Oreochromis niloticus: one gene and its partners. The protein of the gene in region 1 interacts with the protein of each later gene in a pairwise test. Links are inferred from orthologs where the notes say so. Each region holds a gene or a part of one and is shown on either strand. Other genes may lie near its edges.

Region 1 (7,220 bases):
GTCTATAAATAACATGTCAAACTGTATGCTAGCTTTTAAACACTAATGTTCTTAAGCATGAACTTGGTGTTTTTATGCATTTTGGTGTGACAACGAAAAAAAATTTTTTTAATAAAATTTTGGCATTCCAGATTTAGCATAGATAAACAACATCAGAATTGACGAAACTAAACAGGAAATATGATGATGCCAGGGAGGTGTTAATAGGCTGAAAATTATATTCTCGTCTGTTTAAAGAAGGAAAAATGAGCAGCAGGGGTAAATAGCAAGATGAAGGTACCACAGAAGACAAGAGAAAAACCAAAAAAATAAAAATAAATAAATAAAAGAAAGACACTTCGAGAATGCATGAGTTGCACTTACCACAGGACACTTTTTGTGGCGCTGGTGGTGGAGGCAGAGGCAGACTTTCCCTGCTTGTTTTCTTGGACTTACGGCTCCAGCCATTTCCCCTCTTCTTCCTCCGCCTACTTGCACATGGCCCAGCCACAGGAGTGTAAATACCTGAAACAAAACATATTGACTAAGTTCAGGAGTCCAAGACAAAAAGAACTGCAAAGGACTATTTATAGCTTTTCATCCAAATTTTACTGCTCATATTTGATCACAACTTTCAACAAGAAAAATTCCTGTTAAGATCATGGTGTGTACACAATGTTCTTCCCCACACAACACACCGACCAAAAAAAAAGTTTTAACCACCAAAAATTATTTTTAAATATTATTATTTTAATTAGGGTAATAATCACTGACATATAATAATAGTCAGAAATGCACAAAAGGCACCGATTTATGTGGGGAAAAAAAGTAGCAGCTTCATTGCCTTAATGGTAGAGGGACACATTTTGCATATAAGCAGAGTCAATCAGGGCAAAGAAGGCCAACTCTGAACCACAAAAAAATCTGGCACACACACACACACACACGTTTTCAAATCATCATTAATCAGCTTGAAAACACTTAAGACCGTACTTCGGGTTGGCCAAATACTAAAGAGCAGTAAACTTACCAGTTTCTAATTGATGTGCGAAAGATGTAAGAGGAGTTTCTGTCTCCCTGCAGCTGCTACTTATTCCAGAAGTACACACCGACTCCGTGCTTTCTATCTCATACCTCTGTACAATTCTCTCTGGAGAAACTGAAAAGCATAAAAAACACACAACACATAATGGCAAACTATTTGAGATCAACTACAGCAGGACATAATCTCAAGATCCTCACCTGTCCTCCTTTTCTTGTGGGACACTAAGGGTAGCAGGTCATGACGGGTAAGGACTCTTAGAAGTTGCAGTAGTGGTGCCAGGTTTCCATCACTAAGGTATCCTCTCCTCTCGAGCTGTAGCAACAGCTCAAGGCCACTCTTGGGTTTTGGATCCAAAAAGGGCTGCTGTGACACCGTAGGCTTTAATCGCTGCCATGCTTTTAGCAGCTGTGGACTTGGGGCCACACCTGGATCATCTGGATTGTCCTCACGGGGTTCAACTGTCCAGCCTGCTGGATCGAGAGGATGTGTTGCGGAGCAAGTTTCATTCAGAAGGAATGACAGGACTTCAATGTCAGTCTCTGTCAGCTGAGAACCAACTACTTCAAAGACTTCATGGAGAGACAACATCCCATAGTAGTTGAGGCACTCTGTTTCATCCCAGTACAGTGAATCCCTGAGCGGGTACCCTTGATGATGCACTGCAGCCATGGTCAGGATTTGGTTATGGACCTTTCCCACTTTTCAGCCAGTGATAAGACTACAAAAACAAATACAAAAACAATTACTATTAAAGGTTTTTAATGTCTAACAAGATACATCCGACTAACCATATAAACCAGATAAGTAGGGTTAGGTACTGAGCTGGTACTTTTGAGGGAACTGACCAAAAAATGTCAGTGCTACTGTTAATCAGCACCAAATTCTGGTACCAGAAAAAAATCTGGGTTAGTGAAAGAAAGAAAGTAAGTGTCAATCCTGCTACAACTGAAGAGGAACAAATGACAGGGCAATGGTAGTGGTGGAATGCTGAAAGCATTTTCAGGTGTGGTTACATGTTTCAAAACTCTCTCTGACACTTGTAGCGCAAAGTCCAAAGCAACACATCTAATCTGCATTTACACCTGGTCAAACAAAAATAGATCTAAAGCTGAAGAGTGTGCCATATTTTCTAGCCTGAAAGCCAAATTCACCAGAGGTCCTGCAGCTTTAACTCTAGCGCAACTGTAGCCAAAGTATAAGAAATCGAACCAATGGATGACAAAGCTTTTAGTGAGACATTGACATCTTCTTCAGGTAATAACTAGGTAGCTGGACAAGATGTCAGATAAACAGGGCTGTTTTCACTGCATTTGTTGACATTTTAACTTTTCAGCTGGTCATTTGCGGCAAGCAAACACCTTATGAGTGATGATATGTCCAAAATATTATTATCTAATAAATTGCCAATAATAGCACAACAACATTTTACACACCGCCAGCTGCCTCAGCTGTGAAAATGACCATCAGTGTTTGTATACAACAACATTAAACAGCAACGAAATAAAATGTTTCAACTGAAAAGTATGGACTTATTTTGTATGAGAAACTTTTGGATTTAAAGTATAGGGGGGAAAAGGTAAAAACGCCAGCATCAATCATCAAATGTAAAAGATAGTGAGCCCCACCCAGTGTACAGTAATATATTGGGATTTTTTTTTTTGCACATCTAAAAAAATTACTTTTTAAACAAGGTTACTGAAGGTGGAGTTAATTAACTAAAGACTATAATATATTTACTAAAGGACGTGGCCAAACATAACAGAAAAATTCATGTAGAGTCAGGTTTTCTTTAACAATTAGTGGATCAAATTGTCCGTATGTGCATAGTCACCCTCCCCTAAAGGCCTGTTCTGAGCTAGGAAAAACCCTGTAATCTATGTACACATAATGGATTGTACTTAGCGTTCCTGTAAAGGCTGCAATTCTCATTTAACAGGTTTGACCTCGAGTTTCTTCCATGTTCTATACTCCTACTTTTATTGCATTACATACGTAGCACTAAAAATGTCATCTGTGTCTGTTTAAGCTATAAAACGCTGCTCCAACAAAACGGTCAGACAAATCCCGTGTAGCTACATATAAACTGTATTTATCTATAAAACCCAGCAGGCCGTTTGTGCTATGTAACACAGTCAATGATCATGTTGGCGTAATACTGCAGCGTTACGCCCGTTCTCTAGTCTACAACCATTATATGGCTGCATCAGCTAGCTCAGCAGTCCTTGCCATTTTCACCCTCAATTCGAAACATTTTTTTAAACACGTAACGGAGGACCCCCTTATAACCACTTTGTTTCCATTCAGGTTCAGTAACACACACTAACCAGTTGGAAGCCAAAGATAGTAGCCGTTCTTCAGACGCCCAGTAACAACCGGTGAAGCAAAATTTTCCCCTTTGACAAGTTATGTAACCAGTCACGTTTGTCTGTGGAAAAAGCATAACAAACATCAAGAAGTGCAATGCAAAAAGCGGTTTAGCCAAATAACAAACCTGAAATTAACAGGTGTGCTACATTGCTAAATACGTACTGAAACACATAGGATTAACTATACGATTAAAAAATATTTTTTTTCCTCTGTATGCATTAGCGATACATACAAAGGACAGAAATGGATATCGCTTGCTAGCTCCTAACGTTAACTTACTTCAAATATAAATTGGCTGTAGTATCGACGAGCATTGGGTCACATACATGAAAGCGTGAAAAAATGCACCAATAGATAAATATTCAAAGCATTTTAACGCGATAATATTCAAGAAAGCCAAAGTAACTAGGGGGGACTCACCTCCGAGTGGGCTGAATGATCTAGTAACTTCCACAGCAACGTGCAGTTCTGCACTACGTCAACGCGGAGGAATTGACCAATCACAGCCCTCTGACTTCCACGGCGACGCCCAGTCACGTTTTTGCTCTCGCTGATCTGCCAGTCTTCTTTTGAACTGATCTGAAGACAGTTTTTCCTAAACAGTCACTTTGTAGTATTGAGCAAGTCAGTAAAGACAGCTGATTCAAGGGCGCCCCCTCCCCCTTTTTTAAATTTTACTTTTTTTGTCTTAGCTTCGACGTGAAAAAACAAAACAAAAAACAAAGCAGCACTTTAAGCGAGCTTTGCTGCGAAGTGTCCATAAGCATATAATCACAAGAATATATGTACTGCTGCAGGCTACACCCAAACATAGGAGAGGGAAAACTGCTGGATGCTGTCAGTAGGTGGCGGTGTTTGGAACCAAGGCAGCTAGGAACAACAACAAGGAAGGCAACTAAGAGCCACATCATATCCGTAAACTAAAACAGCAACAAAAGGTCTGAGGCAGTCCCGTTAAACTCATCTCCTGCTGTGAGTATATGTAATTAAACCATTGTAAATTTGGCAGTTGATATCGTTCATTTTTATTTCGGTTCATTTTAATTAGGTGTGTAAAGTTGGGGTACGATAAAATCATAAATCCGCTTCGGCTGGAGTGGTTGTTAGCAGAGAAGCTAACTGCGACAGTATTTGTACAACCAAGAGCTATTAAGAACAACTGGGAGATATGATGGACTATATACCGGGGTTTAGAAATGCCATTCAGTTAGGATACTTAACTGATTAAAAATAAAATAAGTGAGTATTCGCTGGAAATTGTGTTGTGGAATATCCGGGCGTAAGTTTAGTGATGTGGCATTGACCAAGCCCTCTTGCTGACGAACATTTTCCTCTGCCTACTGTTGCTAAGCTCGGTCTTTTGAGTGTTGTTTCTTCAACCTCTGGGAATGACAGGATTGAGAAATGCAGGAATATAAAAACTGGTGTTGGTCACGAACTTCATACACTGGCTGATCTATGTATAAATACCTTAGTTAAGAATTTATCTGGAGATAAACAAAGAGAGGGAATCAATTAAGTGGTGCCATCACGGCGCCCTTCTTCTCCTTTTGACTGTTCTCTTTAGGGGTAACCACAGCAGATCATTTCCCTCCATCTCACTGATTATATCCTTCACCACATCCATGAACCTTCTCTGAGCTCTGAGCCTCCACTCCTTCCGGCTTCACTGTTACGTCTGCCTCACTTTCAGTCACATGTGTTCTGTCTTACTTCTACCGAGTTTCATGCCCAGATTTTGGTGTTATAATATGATGGTTTAAAACAACTTATGCTGCTAAATATAAATGTCTAATGGGAGTCAACATCATAAGTATGTGTAAAATTGCATAGCAGTTTTTTGTGTGTATATAAAAACAAATTGGCACCCCTCAAATAAATTTAATCTCTTTTGCTAATTGAGGTTTATTATAGTCAAGCTTAAAATACTTTTTTTAATGAGCTTCTCAGGAATAACAAAAAATGAAAGGCATTGACAGCAAAAGTATGAACCCTAAATGTAAACCTATATGAGTCTTACTTTGTCCACCAGTGTTGTTGTGTAGGGGAAGAAAGCTTTTTTTTTTTTTCTTTCGATATTATCTTGAGACCAAGTCAGTTTGCTTGTAGTGGGGTTTTTTTTTCATCTTTTGTCTTTTTGAATCTTGAAGTTTTTACATTTTGATGAAAATTTAAATTTGATAATGAATCAAAATAACTGCCTAGATAAGCGCCTGGTGGCATTTCAACATTTCTGTCCATTGGGGAGATTTGCTTGTAGAGGGACTTGAGAATTAGTGGTGGAAATGTTTTACAACTGGTATTTACATTCTGTGTTTTCTTCCTTGCAGTTGTCTCACAGCAGACTGTGTACATGCCGTCTGGAGTGCCAAAGGGGGAGAACTGTCAAGTGGACATGGACAGCAAGGCAGGAGATCTGTTCACAGCTGAGGATGCTCATCCCACAGGCACAGGAGGCACAGGAATCCTGGCAAAGTATGAGTTAAAATGTGTTTGTCTATCACAGATTTATCACACAGTAGAACTGACATGTGCTTCTGCATCTGTCAAACCTGCTACTAATATTGTAAGCTTACTGAGCCACCAAGTGATAGTATAAATTTTGCACGTAATGTCTTCATCTTATTTCGTAGGCTCTGGCTTCCCAAAGGCTTCTCAGCTAGCATGGCTAAAGAGTGGTTCGACAAGCGCCGATTGTCCATTCGACCTTGGGCCAGTTTTGTAGACCAGCGCAAGTTTTCAAAACCCCGCAACTTTGGAGACTTGTGCCAGAGGGTGGTGAAGAATGTGGAAATTTACAACAGCAACTACACCTTCATCTTCTTGGGGCTTATCCTCTACTGCATGTAAGCCCAAAAACATGACTTTGTTAGGAGCTCATAAATCTGTTTTGGCCAGTGAGAAATGGAAAAAGTAATAAATGATCGAACTGTTGATGTTTCCTCTTTTCAGCATCAGCTCGCCCATGCTACTGATCGCCTTGGCTGTGTTTGCCGGTGCCTTTTACATCATTCACATCAAATCTTTGGAGTCTAAACTGGTTGTGCTTGGTGAGTAAAAGTGTCTCAAATAACTCAGACACCTTCACATAAATACCTGCTTGTTGATTCACCGACAAATAATATAAATGTTTCTTGGGCAGCTGCTTTTAGATAAACCTAGCTTGAATAATTAAACATCAAATTTTAAGTTGGCTATCTTTATTCATCTATTTACTTATTTATTACCACCTTTAATTTTTTGTGTATAGAAATGAAATCAATGGATTAATGAAGCGATCTATTGTATAATTTTTTTTTTTCCCCAAAATTGTTGTTCTCTACTATTACAGTTCTCAGTAGCAATAATGTAACTAAACCACAAAAGGTCTCCTTTAAAGATGTCAGTTTAGTGAAGAGTAAGCTAAATTTATGTAAGGAAAATAAAACATCTTCATTTTTATGGAATCTTTAATTGCTGTCATAATTTATGTGTTCTCAAACCTTCAATTTTAATGTGAACCAGGCCGAGAGCTGAATACGCCTCACCAGATGAGTCTGGCTGGAGCCGTTTCTCTGCCTGTGTTCTGGTTGGCCGGAGCTGGAGCTGCCGTGTTTTGGGTTCTTGGTAAGCCAAACCACATTATACTTCTTCCATGTTACTCTTCTGAATCTTTGTTTTAAAAAAAAATATCAATAATTCTTATTGTGTTTTTCTGATTTTGGAAATATAATTAAACATATTCCACTGCTGTCTGCAATGCTAACATCTCTCTAATAGTGGAACCTAAATCTTGTTCATGCATTTGTAAGAAAAACCTTCTTCTTTGTTACTTTCCCTTCACACCCAT
Region 2 (6,882 bases), on another chromosome or scaffold:
CCATTTCCATAATTCCTGGGACTGCCGGATGTGAGTAAACAGGCCCTCACGAGGAGATGGTTCAAGCCTGACTGAAGACTGGATATATTCTGTAGAAGACATCTATACCATGGAAAAACTGTCTTTCTCTCTCAAAGTGCAGACGGATACCTTCTACAGAATATGTTTGAGCCTGTGAGGTGGGATTTTCTATCAAGCCTGCCACTTTTATGCTCGTGCACTGATTGAAATACCCATGCTAATAACGCGAAGCTAACTTGGCTACCCCACTACCCCCAACCCAAGTTCTTACGGGGGGGGTTTTCAACTATAAGTTTACAAATCTGAAAGCAAAAGCAATGTAGAGAGTCATACTACTGTTATGTTCAATGTACTTTCTTACAGTTTTTTCTGAATGCTTAAACCCTAACTGTGATTCTTATAGCACAATTTCTAAAACTATTAATACTTATGGCAAAACCACTCACTGAGTTTGCAAAACTAAAAGCACAAACACTGCTTTGCACTCAGTTTGCCATTTTGTAACACACACTTTGCAAACCTGTAGCTACAATCCACTGCACAGCACTCTTTTTGCAGAACTGTAAACACACAACTCACGGCTTTACACTCAATTTCCAAATGATCAACACACTCCTAGCAAAACTTTACACATTTATAGCCATTATTTACACTATTTTGCCAACTGTCTGGCACACTGTCACATGTGAAAACTTTTTTAGATCATTAGATCACTTTGCAATCAGCCTAAGCACTTTAAATAAGCTACAGGTAAGCTCTGTGTGTGTGGAGTACAATGGAGGGAGCAGGAAGAGTGAGAATTAGAGGAGGCCAACGGGTTCAGCCTAACTCGAGCCGCTACACTGTAGCAAGCATCATAAGGACATTTTGAAATGAGAGTCGGTTAGTACAGTCACTTTGCACTAAGATCTGTAGCACTGCCATGCTAATGAGAAACACAACAATACCATAGATGTAAAAATACTGAAATTGTTACTTTACAGAATTGCTAGACGACCAGATGCTGGGAGCAGAGGAAGCATGTTCACTGCAGACCAAGAAACCCATATAGTCAATATGGTGATTGGAAATAATCCTATACTTGGAAATAAACACTTGTGTTTGTTTTGATGTGTGTGAATAAACAGCAGTACTTGAAGTTTGGATCCCTCTATGCTTACGGATCTATGACAAAAGTATGAGCTCAATCTGACATAGCCTACCTTGTGCACAGAGAAAGCAAAAGCCAGATGTGTTTTCATTCATACCATCAGTGTGTAGTTGGTGCATTGTGTGCTTATTAATATGATGGCTTGTGTTAACTGTTGGATACGAAAATACCATTTTTACAAAGGTGTGGAGAGTTAAGCAAAGGTTATTCGCTTTTACAAGGAAACTACAATGTTTTGCTGATTGGGTGAAGAGTTTTCTTATTTGTGTGTAGAGTTTTGCAAAAATAGCCAATAGTTACAAAAAATGTGCTTAAGCCATCAGAAAAAACTGTAATAAAAGAGTTTTTTTTTAAAAAAGAAAAAACTGAAACACCAAAACCTGCAGTTCCTCTAACGTCCACCTGGGGCTCCACCAGCGAGTTATTCCCATAGACTCCAATGTTAAAAAGGTTCAAAACAAGCAAAGCCTCTGATTATGATTTTTCAGACATTTTATTGATATACAAAAAACAAACATGTTCACACAGGTGACATAACACTGATGTTAAAGCCAGATCACTCCTCCTCCTCGCCCCCTGATCTCTGTAAAGCAGTGTTGTTCTGTCAGGGCAAGCAAGGAAGGCGGTGCTTACCCAATGAAAAAACAAACTGTTATTTCAGTATTTTGACTTTTTCAACCTTAAGTGACCGTATTTGGCATATCTTGGTTAGAAAGTTGGCAAGCTGCATTCACAGAGCTTATGCAAACATCACACAAACACATATCTGCTAATCAGTGCTCAGTAATATCTGAACTGTAGCTCCGCCTCCTTGGATGCTCTGTTTTAACAGTGACCTCACAGCAGGCATATTATTGGTCACATGATGTCATTAAAAAGCTCCAAAAGGGTCCAACAGCACAAACAGGGTCCAGGGGTCCAGTTCAGGGACTCCCATTAGTTAAGGTGAAGCCTAGCAGACAGCTAGCTGCTACAGCCACCTGTACCACCATCTACCTGTCAGTCAAAGAGGCCACGCCTCTAATAATGCAAACTTTAAGCCTGAATACAATTTGAACAGGTGAGTAATAGAAACGCTCTTCCGTGTACAGCTGTTATGAAGGAGTATATGATCCACAGAGACCAAACTGTTTGTGTATCAGGCTGTAAACAGGTTTGTTTTAACATGGGAGTCTATGGGGCCTGACTCGCTGCTCCCCCTGCTGGACGCTGGAGGAGCTGCAGCTTCTTACTCTTACAGGCTCCTCCTCACTCACCTCCCTCTTCATCGCCTCCTCCAGGCTCTCCCCCACCTCCACCCTCCCAGCAGGAAGATACCACTGTTTGTAACAGTCCGGTTTGGCCTCCTGGACCATCAGCACCTCCTCCTGAAGGAGTGTTAATTAATTAAATAAGCAATCATTTAAGGGTATTGATGAGACGGAGTGGCTACCTGTGGTGACCTCTGTTCACCTTCTCATTGAAGATGACAGCACAGACGATGTAGGTGACGTTCTTCCTCAGGGTGGCGGGTTTGCTCTGCTCCAGGCCCACATCACACACAGTGACCTCTGACCCCTGCCCACTTAAAAGCCTCTCCACCTGCTCCTCCACCTGCTGCTGTTCCTCAGCTGTCATCTCCATGTCTGTAAGAGGAAGAACAGAGAGCGTCTTCATCAGCTAAAAAAAACACCGCAGAGCTCGAGGCTGTGATTGCAAGCGCGCGGAGGCTCACCTGTGATCCAGGTGTGGTGTTTCTGGTGTCTACCAGGTGTGACAGACGCTGGGAGAGCTTCCTCTCTTACTGTCGGATCTGAATCCTGAAAACTGTAGTTCACTAAAAGTACTTCGTTACTTTCTCCGCAGGTACCGGCGTCATAAATCGCCGAAGCCTTCCCCCCGGAAACAGATGCCGGTGATAAAAGCACGAGCCCCCCTCCTTCAGCTCGCCTGTCTTGACATTTGACTCCAGAAGGTGACACCGGAAGTGCTACTAATCTTCCTGTTCCGCGCCGCCGCAGTAAGAGCTTTTAACCCACTCGAACAGCCCCCCCCCCACGGGCGCTTTGGACGGTCCAGATTCAGATAAACACATCAGAAGGTAACTGAGCTCTAACCAATCAGGAGCAGCGTTCTTAAAACGGGTATGAGCTTTAATTTGTCTGTGTGCGTGCTTTATTGTGAAAATCTGACCCGGAAATCACGTGTTTTGTAGTTTGTCCTGGTCGTTGCGGCTGAGGCCGGTGTTATAACGCAGTAAGGTCACAGAGGAGCTGCTCACAGAGAGCCGGGAGACGTACCTGTGACGGTGGAATAGGACAAACAGGTGAAGCAGCGGAGCCGGTCCGAACCGGTCTGAGCGGAACTCCGTCAGGTAAACAGGAAGTTGAACTGATCGCTCTCACTGATCAATCCTCTGAGGTCCAGCAGCCGCTGGTGTTGTGCCAAAGACTGATTTCCAATGTTTCCGTGTATTTTTTATGTGTAATATCTTTACGTATGTTGGTAAATAGACTTCGGTGAACAGCGTTTACAAAGGGGTTTTATATAGAATTAAAATATTATCTGTTTTTCAAGTATCTTTACAACTCTGTGTTATTGTACTTACATTATAACCAATCCGCTCCTTTATCCCCACTTAAAATATTTTTACAGAACTATTGTAATATTTGCTGCCATCTCTGCTGTCCTGTTGGCCAACTTACTCTTACAAAAGACATTTTTAATGTTAATGAGATTCTTTTTAACTGCATAAATAAAGGTTATATAAAAGTCACTGGCAAAAACTGACTGCAGCTTCTACCTTGGTACACAAATGTTGTTTGTGGCTCCAGATGACTTTATGTCATCCATGAGGGATGCATTTGACATATGTTTCACATATTATAGCCCAACAAGTTACTTATAGCAGTTTAAATACGAGCAATCAGTTTTTGGCAAATACCGGCTGTGGGTTACTTTCATAAGCCATAGCTACTGGTAATACTGCGTGTAGTACTATAATATAAGTAATGCTAATACTACTGTATGTGTTACTGTAAAAACTGTTACTCAGGAGGGTCAAAGGATGGGCATCCAATCAGAATCCAAAGATCACTTATTCATGTTATTTTAGCTGAAATGTGTTTTAGCGAGAGACAGACACACCTAAACTCTGTTGTTGTTATAACGTGTGCCAGGTGAGTTCAATTATCACAGAAACCAATCAGGGATGAGAAAATCAGGAGAGGCAGTCAGGTAAAAAAAAAAAAGTACGGAGGAAGAGTCTTTACTGAAATAAAAACGTGCTTTTACGTGCAGGTCGACACCTGTGTGAACAGTCTGGGCTCACGTGCACGTTCATGCTTGTGCAGGAATATGAAACACACATAAGTACAGCTGTGTTTGTGTTGTTAGATCTGTGCCTTTGTTAAAGATCAGAAACAGCGAGAGCCAAAAACGTGTTCCTTCATCAGAACTCCAGTGAATGCATTCTGAATAAAAACAAGCAGGTAAAAGGAGAAGATTTGTTATATTCAGTCTGGCTCAGGGGAAACTGTGCTGCTGTTGACCGAAGTCCGAGGAGGAGAGGAGGAAGGCATGTTAGGAGGCTGAGAGAGAGAACATGAGATAAAGAAGGATTATTTTGAACTTTGATTGATGCAAAGCTGTTCTTGCAGGATTCAAATGTGGAGCTGCAGGTGAGCAGATGCCTTCTGTCGTGTCTTCAAGGTGTCAGTTTCTCCTGTGGGAGAATAAAACTAGCGACCGTGACGTGATGAATCTGCCTGAATGCTGTTTTGTTGTTCGGTTCTCTTTGTGTTCTTCCTGCAGGCAAACATCTTCTTTAAGACCCTGAATGAGAAGAAACGGGTGAAGCTGAGCCTCGTGGTGTGTTCAGAGTGGACGTGTGAGGGAGTGCAGCCGGAGACACGCCGGTGTTGGAGCGTCATGTGTGCGTAGCTGCCCTCTGATTGGACTCTTGTCTCTGCTGACTCGGTCTGATGTTGCGGCACAGTAAGCTGCAGAAGCAGGTCCTCGCTCTGTACCGGCAGTTCCTGCGAGCCGGGCGGGACAAACCGGGCTTCGTCCCCCGAATCCGCGACGAGTTCAGAGAGAACTCCCGCATCAAGAAGACGGACGTGATGCACATCGAGTATCTGTACCGACGGGGCCAGCGGCAGCTGGAGCAGCTGAGGGACGTCAACACCAAACAGCTGGGCTCCTTCTCCAAACCCAAAGAGTGCGGCTGAAACCGTGTGACCTCTGAATCGCACTGCCGTACCTCTGAAAGACGCCGGCGCCATCAAACTGCTGCCATCGTGCTCAGGAGACGGGCTATGAAGGCCGCAGCAGCGATAGAAGCTGCAGTGAAACAAATGTTGACAGTAATGAATTTTATCTGATGTCTGTAACAATAAAACGTGTCTGTGATGAAGACGAACTCATATTCTTCATATTCATGTTTAAGAAACTCAAAACCATCAGAGTTAATCTGTTAATGTGTTGATGACGGTCAGGCTTCATGTCTCCCTCTGAAATATCATTCATATTGTTCTTCATGCGTCTGCACTGCATTCTGGGTAGATGAAGAGTCATGTGACTATTTTTTTTTTTCAGGAATTAAAAAGAAAATTAAAAAGTTTGTTTCCAGGGGAACTGAAACGAGGGAAATCAGGTGTTTTAGTTTTTACACAGAAAATTGTTTAAAGGAGCTTAAATGGAGTCAGAGCAGGAGTGGGTTTAAAAAATCAGTCGATTTTAGTTTGAAGAAAGTGATTTCGATGCATTAAATCCTGAATCGATTTTTAAATGTAAATGTATTTTGCTAGAAACGCTAAAATCTCAGGTTAAATCTCACAAAACTATTTCAACAACCAGCAAACAGCCAAAACGGTAAACGAGAGCCGAAACATGTAAACAGAGAGCGTGGATCATTCACCTGACGTCACGGACGCGCCGTCAGGGCTGAAGAACGAAAGCTCAGTGATTCTGATGCTGCAGGTTTTGTCTCTCCAACCAAAATTCACTGAACCTGCAGAAAAAGAAGCTCCGAACTACGCTTCACACTTGATAAACATGCTCATTAACTCCCTCTGACTTTGGCTGTTTTACTTCCTGCACAGCTCTCTCTCTCTCAGTGCACTCAGAGTCAGTTTTACCATCAAATCTCTGTTTTCTGCATTATTCTCTGCTTATTACGCACCAGCCTGCTGCTGTGCTCAGTGCTGTCCGCCTCTGACAGTAAAGCCTCATTTCTGCTGTTCAAATTGAAGAAATGTAAACTTTTACAAAATGATTGCTCAGCTGTGTCTGTAATCAAACCTCTGTGACTTTGCATCAGGTCATGTTCACATGTTCATTCACGGTTTTCTTCTGTTTTGGATCTACTGCAGAATATTTTAAGGTTATCTGCTATAAAAAGTCAGGCCAGGAAAATCTGCTTCGTGATTTTCTGTTTTATCCTCAGTTACTGTGACACAAAGGCCTCTGCTGTGATGCTCACACCTCTGATGGAGTCTCACAGTGTCAGCTTTGGTTTATACATAGATATAAAAATATGGAGATGAACTGATAAATAATCAGAATTAGAATATTTCTGACTGTCTGAGTCAAAACTGAACTGAATAGATTATAGAAATGGAAATCGATACCCGGCGCTCAGTCGGAGCTCTGCAGCAAACACGCGGAGACAGCACGCGAACGGAAGCAGCGTTTAGTTTGACACATGTGTCGCTGTGGAGCCGCCGAGC
Region 3 (7,452 bases), on another chromosome or scaffold:
TAGACGTTTTCAGGAAATCTCAAAACGATCTGGCTGAGATACAGCACCGTTTCCAACCAATCAGAACTTCTATTACACCCCCAACTGTGTGCCTGACTCACTCTCAGTCACAGTATGTCTTACAGCAATACAGTGTACAGTGGATACAATTTAAACAAAACAAGTAGATATGATTTCATTTCTGATGAGGACAGCACTTTTTAAAATGGAAACAAAAGACATTATCTGCAAATTAGTAAACATGATACTAGGACAACTTTTTTTAATGTAACTTTAAACCACTATGGAGGATATCCTTATAGTAACTCTAAAGTTTTTAGTATAAAATGTGTTTAATGGTTTCAAATAACAGTTTCTAAACAATATAGAAGAGTCCACTTTCCTTGTTTTATTCTAGTATTATATTCTAGTTTGACTGCAGTGGAACACATTCGCTACTGTATTAATTTTTATAGTAACAGATCCCACTATTAATTAATAAACAAAGTTTATTATAACGTGTATAATGGATATTGTGCAGACTTTGATGGTACGAAGTTGTTACATCTATTAATGAGCAGTTTTTTTTATTATCAGAGCAATTTCCTGTAAATTTCCACATCACTGATTTTGGTGAGTCATGTGTTACATTAGTTCCCAAATTTTTTGGCTTGCCTACAAATGTTGAGACCTCTGAGGCCTGGATAACAAATAAATAGAAGCCCTTGATTTCCTGAGGGATCCACCTCTGTGCTGGTGGGTTTCTGTTGCACTCTGAATAAGTGTGTCAGTTTTGGACAGAATGTGCTTTTTAATCAGAGACTTTGAGCTGATGAAGAAACACTTCTCAAGAAGAGTATAAGAGACTGAGGCAAAGCAAAACCACATCTGCTTCACTGCACTTTTAAAGAATCGGGAAGCTTAAAAATATCAAAACTGTGCTAAAACCTCAAGATAACCAAGACGTGAGGGATGCAGAGTACAGGACATGTGTAATTCAACACCTAGAAACTGACTTCAGGCAGCAGTCTAGAGCTGGCTCTGATAATGACAAAAGAGGCAAATATGGAAGACACTTGTAAGGGTGATTATTTTAACTCAGTAGGTGTAAAATGAAGTGGTGGCAGGAGGCTTACAGCGTTATGTCGGTGGACACTGGCAGGAAATATCAACACACGGCTCTGACTAAATGATCCAAGAAGGAGTAACTCATCTATGCATTCACAACACAAACTAAACGAAAGCCTCACATTGTTTAACAAAACATTTATACTAGACGCTGGTTTATCCACCATATGTTTTTCCAGTCTGACAGGAAGTCGAGATTTTTTGCAGCGTTCGCATTGTCAGAAACAAAACAGACCTTTCTTTTGATGAAGTCGAACTTGGTGTCGCACTGCATACATCTGGGGCACTGAAAGACGGGAAGAGTGGAAAAAACAGGATGTTACACAACATGCTGAGCTGGACAGCTTTCGGTTAAAGTACTGTTTTAAAGTTTTGCACAAGTATCATCAGCTAGTCAAGCCACAATAGATCTGCAGCTGTAAGTGTAAATAATAATAGTATACAAATAGTATGTGTTAATGGCTCTTGTGTCTTATGGTCATTACTGACAAGTGGTAACTGTTCATTAAACCGTCAAACTTGTGATTTATCACTGACAGATCAAAAGATATGGGTTTGTAATTAGTGCCAGGCTTGTGTTTAAATCCCTACCCCTCTTATTAAAGATCTGAACGCTGAGCTCAGCAAATAGTAAATGATTAACTTCGCCAGTCTGGTCAAAGTGTCCCTGTGTGCAGCCAGAGTTTACATTTTCGCAGACAGACAGTCTTTGTGTGTCCTCCTGTAGTTTTACTGCACTGTGTGCCAGTGCAGTAAAACTACAGCCTTCGAGGCACGAAGGGCTAGCTCCTACTGCTGTTTAGCTAACCTACGTGCTGGTAGTCAAACACGCACACAACCAGAGGGGTTTCGTCACTCTGACGCTGACAAACGCTACAATTAAGTTTGCCGCTAGTTGTAGCTGTTAACTAGCTAACAAGCTCCGTTTGCTGCCAGGCTGGCCGTGACAGCCTGCAACGCCCAGTCCAGCGGCCAACTGCGATGTCCGGAGCGCCGTCAAGCTCGCCGCAGTCAGCAGGATGTAAGCCGGATGTAGAGCCGTTTCACTACAAAAAATAAAAGCCTATCACAGCGCAAATTAATCTGAAAAGCACTGATTAACAACTCTTAAAGTATAAAACAACAATAAAAATTCTTTAAAAAAAAAAAAATTTACTACGCCCAGCAGCTTAGATAAATATATCTGGACCTTGAACTATCGTTCAAATAAAAGCAGCTATTTAAACACATTGTGATTATCACTGATAACTTGAAACAGGGTCTTACATTTTGAAGCCCCAAACAATCAGTGTTCTAATGTAAAATGTAAATATTAGTTAATTTTGGATGTTTCCTTGTATTTTCCTTGTGAAAACAGTCCAGTGACTTTTGCTGTCAGGATTTTAAAAACAAAACAGCGCACTAAATTGTTTTTTTTCTCAAGTTATACTACAATGAATAAAATACAACATCATCAAAACTACAGCTAAAGCTACCACTAGACTCTTACTTTATTTGAGCACTTTGCGTTTTAAACGACAGGAGGAGACTAGCAGGACAAACACAAGCATTAGTAAGCGGCTTCAATTTTATTCCCACTAGTTTAACAGAGAGGTGATTTTATTTTGGAAACTACAACCGGAAAACCTTAGTTAAGCTTCTCGTGTCTGCACGGCTGTGATCGCTTGTCGCTGTCAAACCAAATCCGACGCTTGTCTCACCTCTTTGTCCGGAACCCACTGCGGCTCGTCCAGCGAGAAAGGACTGCTAAAGGCGCCGTTTTCCGGAACCATGCGAAGGCCGCTGGGACTGCGGATGAGTTTCTTCCCGTCAGGAACTGAAGACATTTTCCTTCAGCGTGTGTTTCTCCTCTGTGTTCAGCAGAGTCTCCTTCGACCACAAAACTCTCATCTGGGCACACCCTTCAGAATGATTGACAGGCTGTTTAGCGAATCAGAGCACACATTTGAGATCACGTGTTTCTCTGGCAAAGTTGAGTGTTTTGGTTTCTGCAGCCCCTCCCATTAAAAATAAAGTAAACATATTAACTACTCGTAGAAGGAGAAGTAAAACATGCGGAGTTTTTAAAACTAGCACTAAATTTAACACATGAAAGGTTGATAATGATTTGTGAAAAAAATTATAGTTATATATAGTTTACTTTGGACAACCATAATTTGAGCGGACATAAAAGAAGATTTGGCAAATTTAAAAAGTAAAAACCAACAACAGGTTTCTGCATAACTTGGTGAGCTGTGTTGAACAACAGTACCCTCTCATCACAGTTTCTGTTCTGTTACACATTATTACTCTGTAACGATACTTTAATTAATATGATTACCAGCTTAGCAGAAGACTACAGGTAAGCTTTGGTTACACCAGGAACATTTACTTACTGTATACAGAAGACACAGAGCACAGTAGTTTTTCATATTAAACAACGACCTGGGCAGAGTTTACAGAGCTATTATGTGTGCTTAAAATAATTTCATGCTCCATTTAAAAACATGTGTTTTAGAAGTCTTGTGATTTAGAAAAGGGACTACACTTTGGAGGCACTTTGTTGTGGACTGGTGCATGAAGATGGGGCTACACCGACATGATTTAACTCACGCTGTGTCAATATACAAGCGATGTGCAAACACTTTCCTCCCACAGTTTATGCTTAAGTAGTCTTAAAATATATTATTCCTTACATGTTTTTCATGGCAGTCCTTTCTCTAGCAGTTGTCCTTTTTTCTCCCCAGTCTCCCTATTCTCCCTATCACAGTTTTCATTTACTTCACACTGGGCAAACTCATCTGCCTAAAACAAGCCGCCATGACTCTTCTTCTGATTGGCTGCCCCTTGCAAATGGAAGGTTTGAACAGCAGGTGGGTGGGGCTCCTGTGCTCACAGCAAGATATGCTCTTATACTACACCAAGAGAAGAGGGGGGATGGCCTCATTAAATGAACCTTTTGCTTGATGTTTAATATTAGCGTCCACTATTGTAACTGTATGTACCCAAATCAATTTCCTATACTGACTAGGGCTGCCACAAACGATTATTTTGATAGTCGACTAGTCACCGATTATTTCTGCGATTAGTCGACTAATCAGATCATGCATCCATTGAACGTAAAACGTACAGTTTATTGCACCAGCATGCATCTGCTCTTATATAACTATCATTAGCTTACAGCTTTAAGTGTTTAAGGTATGTGCTAACTAAAAATAAAGACAAGATGATAGTTTATTAAATTTTAATGACATTTGCAGATTGTTTCGGTGGAGTTTAATAAACTCAGCCGTCTGCTCCTTGCTATCTAAAATGTAACAGGACACCAGAGTATACTCTCGAGCATCTCACACTTCTGATAATCAGTTGTCTGCTTGACGTTTATTCAGCTGTGTAAAACCTATAACTTTTCTCAGCCAAACGGATTTACTCAGGAACAAATAAAATACTAAAAAAAGCCAAACAATAACATTTTTAAGTTATCTAAGTGACTTATATTACATGTTTAACCTGAGTAGAGAAAGACAGCGGTGGGTTTGAAAACGATTTGCCGGGAGTCCGTTGTTCTCACAGGCTCTAGTGAGCCTTGAACCCTGGCTAACTATCGAGCTGGTGGGTAACAGACGTCTCTGAAAACGTCGGAGTGCTTTTGAAAATACGTGGTGTCTTGATAAACTGAGCAGATATTTGAGGTTAAACAGCTACATTCTGGCCTGAAAATATGTTAAACTTTATTTTGTGACCCCCCCCCAAAATAATAAGAGTAATATTAAAACTAACTAGCTGCCGCCATTGTTGACAACTGCGCTGGGCCGCTATGAATTCTGGGACACCGCTTCTTCTTCTTCGGGGTTTAACGGCAGCTGGCATCCTTACACATGCAGTGCTGCCATCTTCTGTTTCAGTCCGTTATTACACTCTTAAATACTACTACTTATTCCTGCGTCTTTTGGGATCTTACAAAGCTTCAAACGACGTGTCGACTATTAAATTAGTCGTCGACGATTTTAATAGTCGACGTAATCGTGACTAGTCGACTAATCGTGGCAGCCCTAATACTGACATTTTAATATTAACTCAAAGAAATGATCAAATTATGATATAAAACTTATAAAACGTTAAGTTGCTTGAATTTTAATTATTTTTTTAAAAAAATGACACACACATCCTACACAAAGCTCATTGCCCAGCTTTTAAATAAAGTGACTTGATTTCACAACAAATTCCAGTGGGTTGTTCTTTGACTATGCTCAATTAAAACAGTGAAAATTAATACAAATTAGGTCACATTTATTTTTAAATTGCTCAATTTTAAATTTACAAATATTAGAATAAGTCCAATAGTTTCAGCCAGTCCACATTCTGAGATTTTCACAATTATTGTAGGTAGTTCAAGTTGTTCTTGAACCTCTGTATTCAACATCTTTGCATTGTATCTGTGTACACTCCATTCAAAACGTTTTTCTTTGTGTTTATATCAGTGTTGCACATTTCATTAAAACCACTGAAGATTCATTTGGGAAATTGGAACAAATAATTTAAAGAAAGGCAAATAACAGTATAATGGTTTGTGACACCTTCATGTGAATTCATTCTTCAGGTGTCGATTTTTATTGAAGTTAAAGGTCTGATCTGTGAGATGTAAAGAGGGGGTTTTTTTTTCCAACAAATAAGAGAAATGAAAACAAAACCATATTGCACAACCCTGCCAAAAAAAATATGTAAGATTCAGGAAACACAACAGAGACAACGTACAATGCAGCAAATGCATTAGTCACACATCAGTACAATAATCAATGCAGCTTAAGGTGGGAGATCATCATTATTACTTTACGCCAGTCTGATGTTTCCAGTGCAAATCCTTCTCAACTAGGTGTTCATGCTAAAGATTTACAAATGTACTAGGGTTGTTTGGAGATGGACGGTTAAACCTGATTATGGTTGATCTGTGGAGACTTCTTTATCATTAGTGCATTTATTAAACAGACCACTGTGGTCATTCCTAGGCTGATATGAAGGGTTTATTCTAATTTTTTGTGCCGTTTCATCTGTTTGAGCTTTTCTCATCAATCCTTTGTATGCGCATCTTTGTATATATGTTACTGTAACGCCTTCTTCTAGATCACGTTGTACTGAATTTGTCCAATGTGAAGTTCATTGCGTTTAATTTAATGTTTAATGTTAATGTTAAAAGCTGACTCAGGATCTCTCACCAAATTTCCAATCTTCTAATCTAGTCTGTATAATCGTTGCTCGAACCTAATTTAAAGACTTTAAATTCAAAGACATGCACACAAAGGTCATGTGCAGCTGGTGAGGCTGTTTAGGTGCGTTTAGACAAAATTCTAACATTTCAGAACAGGCTTCTGAGTTCCTGTAAAAATATACATCTATAATGTATCTATATGTCTAAGGCAGTATAAAAAAATGGACTCAGCTGCAGACTACCATTGCATGTGCATTCACTCTAATAATTTTTGATTTTCATTATTTCTATAACTTCAATCTATATAGAAAATATATTTTGTAGCAGCTTACTTCTCCATAAATGGACATCATGTGCATTTGTGTGTGTCTGAAATGAAAAGAAATGTAAATACACAGCCCAGCTCAAACAGAAGAAACTCTCCACACAAAATATACCATCTCTGGGGATCTCTTAAACAAGGCACTTCATCATCATTTAACCGGTTGTATGTTCTTTCAGTTCAAGCTTACCACCAGTAAAGGACATTAAATATGCTAAATATTATGTAGCTTCCTTTTAAAGAAGTGAGCATGTACGCATAGTTACCTTCATTTAACATAAAGTTATCAAAAGGCCAGTAAAAGGAAAAGTTTAATTTCGAGATTAACTCTTAGAACAATCACAAGTCAACTTGTACATTTAAACACAGAAATTGTTTAAATGTTTTTTTAATGATAAGTCCTTCAGTATTCATACCAGGATTATGTTGGATATCTCTATATTTAACTGGAAATTTAAATCACTTCACAAAAATGTACATTAAAAATTCCGTGTGGTGTTCATTAAAAAAATTTCCACTTTTTGGTTCAACTTCACTCACATGGCAAAGTTTTGTCTCGTCATTGAAAGTCCTGCAAACATTTCTCCCGTCATTACTTAAAAAGTCTGGAGTGACGTTAAGTTTGTAGTCAGTGTGTGGAAGTACAGCCTCAGTCCTGAGAGTGTGCGGGCCAGCCTTCGTGTGCTAGTCAGTCCACGGATCCTGCTCTCAAGGCTTATTACAGAACGATATAAAAAGAAACAGCGCAAAGACAGAAACAAATAAAAACATAATTTACAAACCCCAAATCATGTAAACATGGAACTTCACACATCGAAAGCTAAATATTGAATCAATC
Region 4 (7,884 bases), on another chromosome or scaffold:
CATGAATGAGGTGGACAGAGTGAGGCACTGCTGTAGTAGGTGCTGTGTTATAATGAAGCCTACTGTGTTGGTCTTCATCTGTCTGTATCACCCAGATTTTTAAACCTCAAAGAAATGATCTTATTATTAGTAGCAAAATTCTGTCATGTACCAGAAACATGGTTGAGAGGTATCACGTTTTATTAGTTTAACCTCACATACAGTATTTCCTGTAAACTGTCAACCAATATTTACTATTTACTAGTACTTTTGTATCTATATTTTCTTTTTGAGACTGTGTTCAGTTTGCTTTCTATTTCTTTTGCATTTGTATTTTAAAGTTCACTTGAAAGCCTCCACTAATTTCTTTGCAGAAGAAGACTTTATGTCCAAAACACGTAAGTAGCTTTATTTTTACACTCAACAGTACATAAAGCAATTAAAATCAACTCCTCCTCGATGAGCTTCAACTTAAAAGTGCTTCATGAAAATGCAATTAACGAGAGCCACAGTCCTGCATAATGAATACTTTTAATGTTGGTGCTATAAGTACATTTTGCTGACAATGCTTTGGAAAGCAGGATTTTTAATTTAATTAAGGATGTGAATACTTTCTCCATACATACTTTTTGATTCTACTTCAGTTTTTCATTGTGTTTATGAGTTATCATGTTGTGTCTGCCTTATGTGTATTACCCATCCTGGATATTTGTGTGTATTTGTATTGTTGAAGCGTGTGTTACATGAATAAAAGTAACCTGACTCTACCTGACTTGCACCCGCATCAGAAGCATATACGTCAAAATGTTTAATGGCACTGCTTCCTGCAGATTAAACCAATATTCATGCTACTTCTATCCACTCTAACATTTACAAGCACAATGAAGATGAATTGCATGCACAGCAGCGACAAATATCAAGAAATAAATAAAATATCCAAACCAGATGAAAGGCTGTTTATAATTGGGTTAGTAATATCCCTGGCACCGTCTGCTAGGTCATTTCCTTCAATCTCCCTGAGCAACAGGGGATCATACAGGCGACACTCAGAACAGGAAGTGTCTCGCCGCTCCGTGACAGGCTGCCTTCTTGCATTCTCTCACCTTCTTCAACACCAATTCAAATACAAGGAAGCCGGGAGAAAAGACATCTTCACTCGCACTACACCCGGTGATTTCACAAATCCTTTAATGATTTCTGACCCTTTTTGTGGACAGCGAAATTGTGAACTCATGCACCCATAACTTCTCACTTAATCTGTATTACTCTCATCACAACAGAGCAAGCCACTCTATCAGTAAATGCTAATCTCCTAATTAACAAGCTAATTAGGCAATTACAGCTTTGCAGAAGGATGCCTAAATGAAATATGACAACACAGTCACTTTCCACAGCACCTGTGGGTCTTTTCAGATGTCACGATGAGAAGCATGATGACAAAGTGTTGTCTCTGCACTCATAGGTGCTTATTCCTATGCCTCGCTAAGCACATTTGTAAAAATATTGTCATTTTATTTAACCTAATATGCAGTACTTGTGGAAACAACATGTCAAATTACGTCTAAATTATTTCTCCTCAGATAAACTGACCTGCACTGTTTTCACACCAGCAGCAGTGGTTAGCGCAACCCCTCGGTTATGTAAAGATGGTTTTGTCAACTAGTAGACCCACAGTGTCTTACTGTAAGGAGCTGTCACATACGGAAATGAATTATGTTGACATATGGCTGAAAACAACGGCGAATAGGCCTGCTATGCAATGCAATGAAGAATCATGCACTGCAACAGAGGAGAGGAGTCGGAGCCGTACCTTTGAGCCCCTCTTGACAGGTATGCAGTGTGACTTGACAGCTCAGTATTTCAATGATAAATGCAGTAGTCCTGGGACTCCCATTCACTAAACTCAGGAGTGCATTGCTCCCATACTTCAAGGTCAAATGAATGAGCAAAACCACACAGACCACTAAAGACAAATTAGAGTTTTTTTCGTCTTCACATGTTGAAATTGATTGTGATGTGAACATTTCAAACTTTGGAATTTGGTAGATACACTAATGCAAACTTTCAGCATCAGTGATTTCCTTTAACTTGACCACGTCAGTCGATTTTATTGTGAAACAATTATATATTCATTTATAGGTAAGGTTTTCTGACCTATTCTAGTAAGAAAATCAGAAGCTGAAAAGTTATTTTAAGTAATGACTCACCGTATCATGACTTCAAACGAATTTCTTTCAGTAAAAGTTGCTTCCTTTTCACAACTGAGTTCTGACTCATGAAGATGAATCATTCGCTAAAACTATTCACTATTTTAATACAGTATTACGTGGACCCCTGACAGCTGCCAGGAAAATATTCAAAAAGGAGCACTTCCTGAAGTAATAAGATGATTCTAATAATGCTGAACAGATAATGCAGTGATGTAAAATATGGTCATGCCACATTGTATCTATCTTTACCATCTATATGAGACAGGTAACTTTCACAGGTGTCATCAGAGCTTAAAATGCGTTAGCTATGTGTGACATCACTATTATAACGCGCTGTTTTTGAATATTTGCCATAGAGAAAGTAAAGACCACACACTGGATCACATCAGCGAGATTTCCACAGTCCACAGCCATAGTCTCAAACCCATAGTCAGTCTCTTACTTTATTCCAGTGTCAGCTACACACCTATAATATTTTGCAACTGCATCTTGCAGAGTTGTGACTATCATGTTGACAAAATCTGTCAACAGACACACAGACGAACACCTGCCAAAGCACTAAAAAACGCCTTTGTGGTGGTTTCTGCAACATTGTCTTGACGACCACATTTTGTCACAGTGACACACACACACACACACACACACACACACACACACACACACAGGTAGACGTACACACAAAGACAAATAGAGCAAGGTTAAAACAATATCAGCTGTTACTAGTAGATATCAAACTTTCATATAAATGACAAAGACACTTAATCAGGGAGCTACAAACATATTCAAGCTTAAGAAGAAGGTGGTATTTTGTGAAGCTGCCATAGCCCCCAGCAGTCCCTCTATTGGTCAAACAACACACATCTTTGATTCCTGCCTTCATTTTGAGCTCAGCATCACATCTGTAAATCTTTGAAGCTTTATACTGTACAATTGCGACACTGCCGTGTTGACAAAATCTGTCCACAGACAGACATACAAACACCTGCCAAAATACTCAGAAGTGCTTTTGTGGTAGTTTCCGCTACAGTAGTTGTCTCCAGGAAGACAGTTTTTCATGATGACGCACTGACAGACTCACAAGTTGAACATGATGCCAACTTTCCATGTCACAGTAACTTCTGGTGTTCATCAAATTCAGACTTACATTTTCCATAAAATGAATGAGCTCTTTTTCATTTTTTTAAAAAAATCTCTTTCTCTTTATTTAAAAGGATCAACACAGTTTAATGAACATCAATATACCAAATATGTATATTTGTCAACTATACATGACATGTTTAAAATGCAAAGATGTCACATTACAGAGAAACTGGTAGTTTACATCTGTAGACGCAGGGCAGGTCAACATAAACCTTTCAAATAAGCAAAACCAAACAGATATATGACAAAAACAAATAAACTTATTGTCATTCTGCAAGTCTATTTACTTTTAAATTTTGCTTAAAAGAGTGATATACATGCTGCACATGCATGATTTAGTCTTTTTTACATCTATGATTGTTTTTGGCAAAAATGTTACAGTTTTTCTCTACATTTGATGTTTCATGAATTAAGCTAATTCCAAATCTGATAAATATGTACACATGCAACATAGTCAAAATTACAGGCAGATGTTGACTATACAGAACATCCTGTTTGTATTTTGATGAAATTAACTGTGCAAAAATAACTAAATAAATAGATATTTTAAATGCACATGTTCACTCAGTGTGCTAAAAGGTGCTTTTAGAAGAATCATGCTACATCCTGGTATATTGTAAAGTACTTTGCGTCCACAGTACAAATCAGCAGGCTAGTTTTTAAAAAAAATTATTTTACTATGAGAAATCATGCATAACGTAAAGGAAGAGTGCGCTCACAGAGGGGCTCTGCCCAAGTTTGAACCCAGGAGTCTGGCTGTGAGGCAGACGTGCTAACCGCTGAACCACCATGCTGCCTGCTGAAACTCCCACTTCCATTATTGATGGCTGCACATTCACCTTTGAACACAGTTACCAACTGGATATAGCACTTTTCTTCAGAAGTAATAAATAGCATTTTAGGCAGCGTTTCTGCTTTTTCAGAGGTCCAGTGAAACACTGGATGGGCCACTTTAAACTACTTAGACGTCATTTATTCAGTGATGTCAGGGTGGAAGAAAAGTGGCTGGTGGAGAATTTAACAACTCACTTGAGCAAACAAGACCATATATTGCAACACGGCCGTGCTTAAATAATGTTTATGTGACTTTGTCACTTCATTGCAGGGTAATCAGAACCAAGCAAAGCCTATTCATCAAAAGTTCACCATTAACGTCTTTGCACAACACAAGCCCTCCTTTGAAAATGTGCTTTCTTCGTATAAAACTCTGTCCACATCCTTTATTCCTACACGTTATCGCTGAATTCATTTTAACTGAAGGGAAACCCCCTATTTTCTTTTTTTTTTCTGATCTCGATGCTTATAGTAGAGGTGCACTGTATATTTGCTGCCATTCCTCCGGCTCAACAACTTGTCTGCTGCCATAGCAACTGCGAAGGAGCACAGAGCAGCGCCGCCTGCTTGTGCAGTGGATGTCACTCGTAGCAACGACCAATCAGAAGTTCCCATCCTTTTGTAAGAGCTGTGGTGAAGATGGAGGGATGAAGTGGGTGGGCTTTCGGCATCATGCATCTGCCAGCATAGGACGCGGAGCTCGTCAGTCTTCGTCATTCTCGCCCGGGATTGGTCGAGGAGCTTTACTTTCCAATAATATAAACATGTCTACTGCTTGCCTGGCTTGAACCGAGGCTTACAAGGGACTGTGCAGTTCTACATCAAACTGTATAAAAACTCTCATTATGTGTTTGCTTGTATTGCTGCAGAGCTAAATCTTTGTTATTGCTAGAGAATATGCACATAGCTGCACGTGCACGCGTGAGGAAACGAGGATACCCTGCTGCCGCTGTTGCAAGAAAGAGAGGGGACTCAGCCGTGCTTTCATCATTATAATCACCATCCTAAGTACTAGCGCTTAACATTTTGTTTTTCGGTGTTCAGGCGAGAAGTGACAAGAATATAGACCCCTCCTCTGCAGGGCGGAGCGTGCATTTTCATTTCGTATTTTGTATTTTTTTTTTTTTGTGATTATTTTTTTTCCTGCCCTCTTCCCTGCTCTGACACGTCTGCACTGAGTGAGTGGCATTGGCACACTGTCAATCGCTCACTACCGCTGCCATCAAACAACATAAAACACACACAGGCAGAGGCTGGAGCTCATAAATTTCAGAAGGGCAAGATATTTTTTTGCGCATCGCCTTTATACAGCGTTGTCTCCTAATTAATTTCTTCTCGCCGTTGCTTTTTTTTCTAGGCAGAAATCTCCCAACTTTTTGTACATTTCATATTTTTTGTAGTCACATTTGGAAACCTTGCTGCAGATTGTGTATTTTTTTTTAAATACTGTCAGTTGTCGCGGGGATAATTTCTGCACATTTATAGTTGACACCTGCGAGCCTAAGATTGTTTTTTTTATTTGTTTACACGTTTTCACAGCGGATATCTTTTTTTTTTTTTTTTAATTTTGTTGCCGGTGCTTCACGAGGAGGATTTGGACATTTTCGAAAGGAAATGCGCCGGGAATCCCACGAAGAGCGTTAATAAATGAGAGACCACCAAGGACCGTTTCTGTCTCTACCGCCCGTCAAAACCCAGAGAAAAGACTGATTGCTATGAGGATCCGTGCGGGATGTGATGGACCGTCAATTTTGACAAACAAGTTTTAAAGAAGAAGAGAAAAAAATATTTATGCGATTTTCTACAAACACAGCCAAAATCAGCGTTTTGGCACTTTGGACCGCGCGTAAAGCGACGACAACTTGGACACAAGATTTACGCTAAATAATAATAATAATAAAAACTGCTGCATATTTTTGACAAAAATCGCGTGTGTGCTGCCTAACGCCGAAGAATCACACAACCGTACATCCTTCCAGTCTGCGGCACATGTTGTAGCCGATTTCGTATATGAGTTTTTCAATTTGTGTGGCTCAGTGCACAGACTCTTTAGCGGCTACTATGGACGATCAAGCCCGGATCATGCAGTCGATCGGCGGTGTCAGTCTGGCTGGCCACTCGGTACAAGGAGGCATGGCACTGCCGCCTCCACATGGACACGATGGGACAGACGGAGACGGAAGAAAACAAGACATTGGTGACATTCTGCATCAAATAATGACCATAACTGATCAAAGTCTGGACGAGGCGCAAGCAAAGTTGGTTGATTTATATGTTTTATTAACTTCGCCACACCAAAAAAAGAAAAGAAAAAAAAAAAACGCCGAACGCATCATTATTGAGATGTGGCCCGTTTAACTTAACTCCCCAATGCACAACAATAGGCTGGAGTGGCTTTAATGATAATCTCACTCTGAGGTGTATTTATTGCCTCGCAAAGCTTTAACACAGTGAAAGTTGCCACTGAGGGAAGCACAGCATTTTAGTTAAACTGTCCTAGAGAGCACGTGTTTTATAAATGTTCATTCATCTACAAAAGTCTACGTGGTGTTGAAACACAATTAATGCCAGTGGGCTCATGTTATGCAGGGAATTGCCACTGAGACTAATATTTACATTAGGGCTTGGTGTTATTTATGAAATGCTTTTATTAAAAAACCCCCCAATAAAAATAGCATGACACATTATACATTTTAGAAGAAAATGCTAACTTTCTGAAGAAGAGGCTTGGAACATTGGAACATTATTAAAGTGGCAACTAAACTTAAAAGCGTGTCCAACCCTTTTAACTGTTTGTGTCAGACATGTGAACTATCATTGAACTTATTTCAGTATTTTATTTTCTCTTATACTGAAACAGGAAACACGGACTGAACTGTCACAGAATGAAACCAGCACTCTTCAGCGTTCTCTGTGAAATCAAAGAAAAGACAGGTAAGATCTTTGTCTAAAATACTGTAATATCAAACTATAAACTCCATCGTTACAGTGATACATGCAATTGGAGAATCAATAAAAGCACACAGGCATTTCTTATTTTATTTTTTTACCTCTCAGTGAGCTGATGACAGCCTGCATCCAGGTTATAGGTGACCTCTGACCGAATGAATCAGTCACTTTTTAAAAATATGTCACCGTACCACTCAGAAACTCCCGTTGTCACGGAACAATAGGCAGAGTCTTCTTCCACTGAAGATGCTCTTTTTTTCTTATGCAAGTGTGTTTTAAAGCACTGGTTTGCTTGGATTTGAACATAAAGTGCGCTCCAGATTTCACACTCACCACCCTGCCAGTGAAGAGGCTGGGGGAGTCCCGTAGCATATGCTCTACATATCCTAGATCACACAGAATCCATGCTGTAAAACCTGACAACGTTTTGCTATCAACTTATAAGAGATTTTTTTATTAGTCAGATTATACGACAGGCTCGCAAATTCATAATTCGATTGCAGTTGTATGAAAGCCTTCCTGCAAAGGTGGATGGTTGATCTTGGAAAATGCAAACAACACATCTCCTGGAAGCTTAGTTAGAGAAAGGGATTGTGAAATAATAATAAAAAAAATCTTCTTTTTATATATTTATATGAGCATAAACTCTGTTATTTCTGTTTTTTTAGGACTAGGATTGAAAACCTTTAGCATGCACACACACTTCATTCATATATTATTGAGAGTTGTAATTACAAGTTTTGTGTCATAATTTTTATAGCTTGAACTTTGT

Evidence for each region.
Region 2: the proteins of rabac1 (region 1) and nudt18 interact in binary tests that used the Homo sapiens proteins (3 or more experiments, as listed by UniProt). The two-hybrid records come from large-scale screens. The link is inferred for Oreochromis niloticus from reciprocal best matches to the Homo sapiens genes RABAC1 and NUDT18.
Region 3: the proteins of rabac1 (region 1) and zfyve21 interact in binary tests that used the Homo sapiens proteins (3 or more experiments, as listed by UniProt). The two-hybrid records come from large-scale screens. The link is inferred for Oreochromis niloticus from reciprocal best matches to the Homo sapiens genes RABAC1 and ZFYVE21.
Region 4: the proteins of rabac1 (region 1) and pbx3b interact in a two-hybrid assay, tested with the Homo sapiens proteins (2 studies listed by BioGRID). The two-hybrid records come from large-scale screens. The link is inferred for Oreochromis niloticus from reciprocal best matches to the Homo sapiens genes RABAC1 and PBX3.

Annotation. Positions count from the first base shown.
Region 1 is NC_031976.2:24,028,015-24,035,234, reverse strand, and holds the start of rabac1 (prenylated Rab acceptor protein 1), read left to right. Parts: upstream 1-4,209; 5' UTR 4,210-4,363; intron 4,364-5,721; 5' UTR 5,722-5,744; coding exon 5,745-5,866; intron 5,867-6,024; coding exon 6,025-6,237; intron 6,238-6,343; coding exon 6,344-6,441; intron 6,442-6,895; coding exon 6,896-6,997; intron 6,998-7,220. Other genes in the region: dedd1 (death effector domain-containing 1), read right to left, coding at 364-504, 1,010-1,138, 1,222-1,693. UniProt on the Homo sapiens protein: General Rab protein regulator required for vesicle formation from the Golgi complex. May control vesicle docking and fusion by mediating the action of Rab GTPases to the SNARE complexes.
Region 2 is NC_031977.2:38,180,237-38,187,118, reverse strand, and holds the start of nudt18 (8-oxo-dGDP phosphatase NUDT18), read right to left. Parts: upstream 3,023-6,882; 5' UTR 2,886-3,022; intron 2,797-2,885; 5' UTR 2,795-2,796; coding exon 2,624-2,794; intron 2,539-2,623; coding exon 2,428-2,538; intron 1-2,427. Other genes in the region: sdhaf1 (succinate dehydrogenase assembly factor 1, mitochondrial), read left to right, coding at 5,134-5,382. UniProt on the Homo sapiens protein: Mediates the hydrolysis of oxidized nucleoside diphosphate derivatives. Hydrolyzes 8-oxo-7,8-dihydroguanine (8-oxo-Gua)-containing deoxyribo- and ribonucleoside diphosphates to the monophosphates. Hydrolyzes 8-oxo-dGDP and 8-oxo-GDP with the same efficiencies.
Region 3 is NC_031983.2:6,347,419-6,354,870, forward strand, and holds the start of zfyve21 (zinc finger FYVE domain-containing protein 21), read right to left. Parts: upstream 3,009-7,452; 5' UTR 2,934-3,008; coding exon 2,808-2,933; intron 2,181-2,807; exon of another isoform or gene 1,699-2,180; intron 1,394-1,698; coding exon 1,343-1,393; intron 1-1,342. UniProt on the Homo sapiens protein: Plays a role in cell adhesion, and thereby in cell motility which requires repeated formation and disassembly of focal adhesions.
Region 4 is NC_031977.2:11,506,178-11,514,061, reverse strand, and holds the start of pbx3b (pre-B-cell leukemia transcription factor 3b), read left to right. Parts: upstream 1-4,870; 5' UTR 4,871-6,173; coding exon 6,174-6,421; intron 6,422-7,017; coding exon 7,018-7,097; intron 7,098-7,884. UniProt on the Homo sapiens protein: Transcriptional activator that binds the sequence 5'-ATCAATCAA-3'.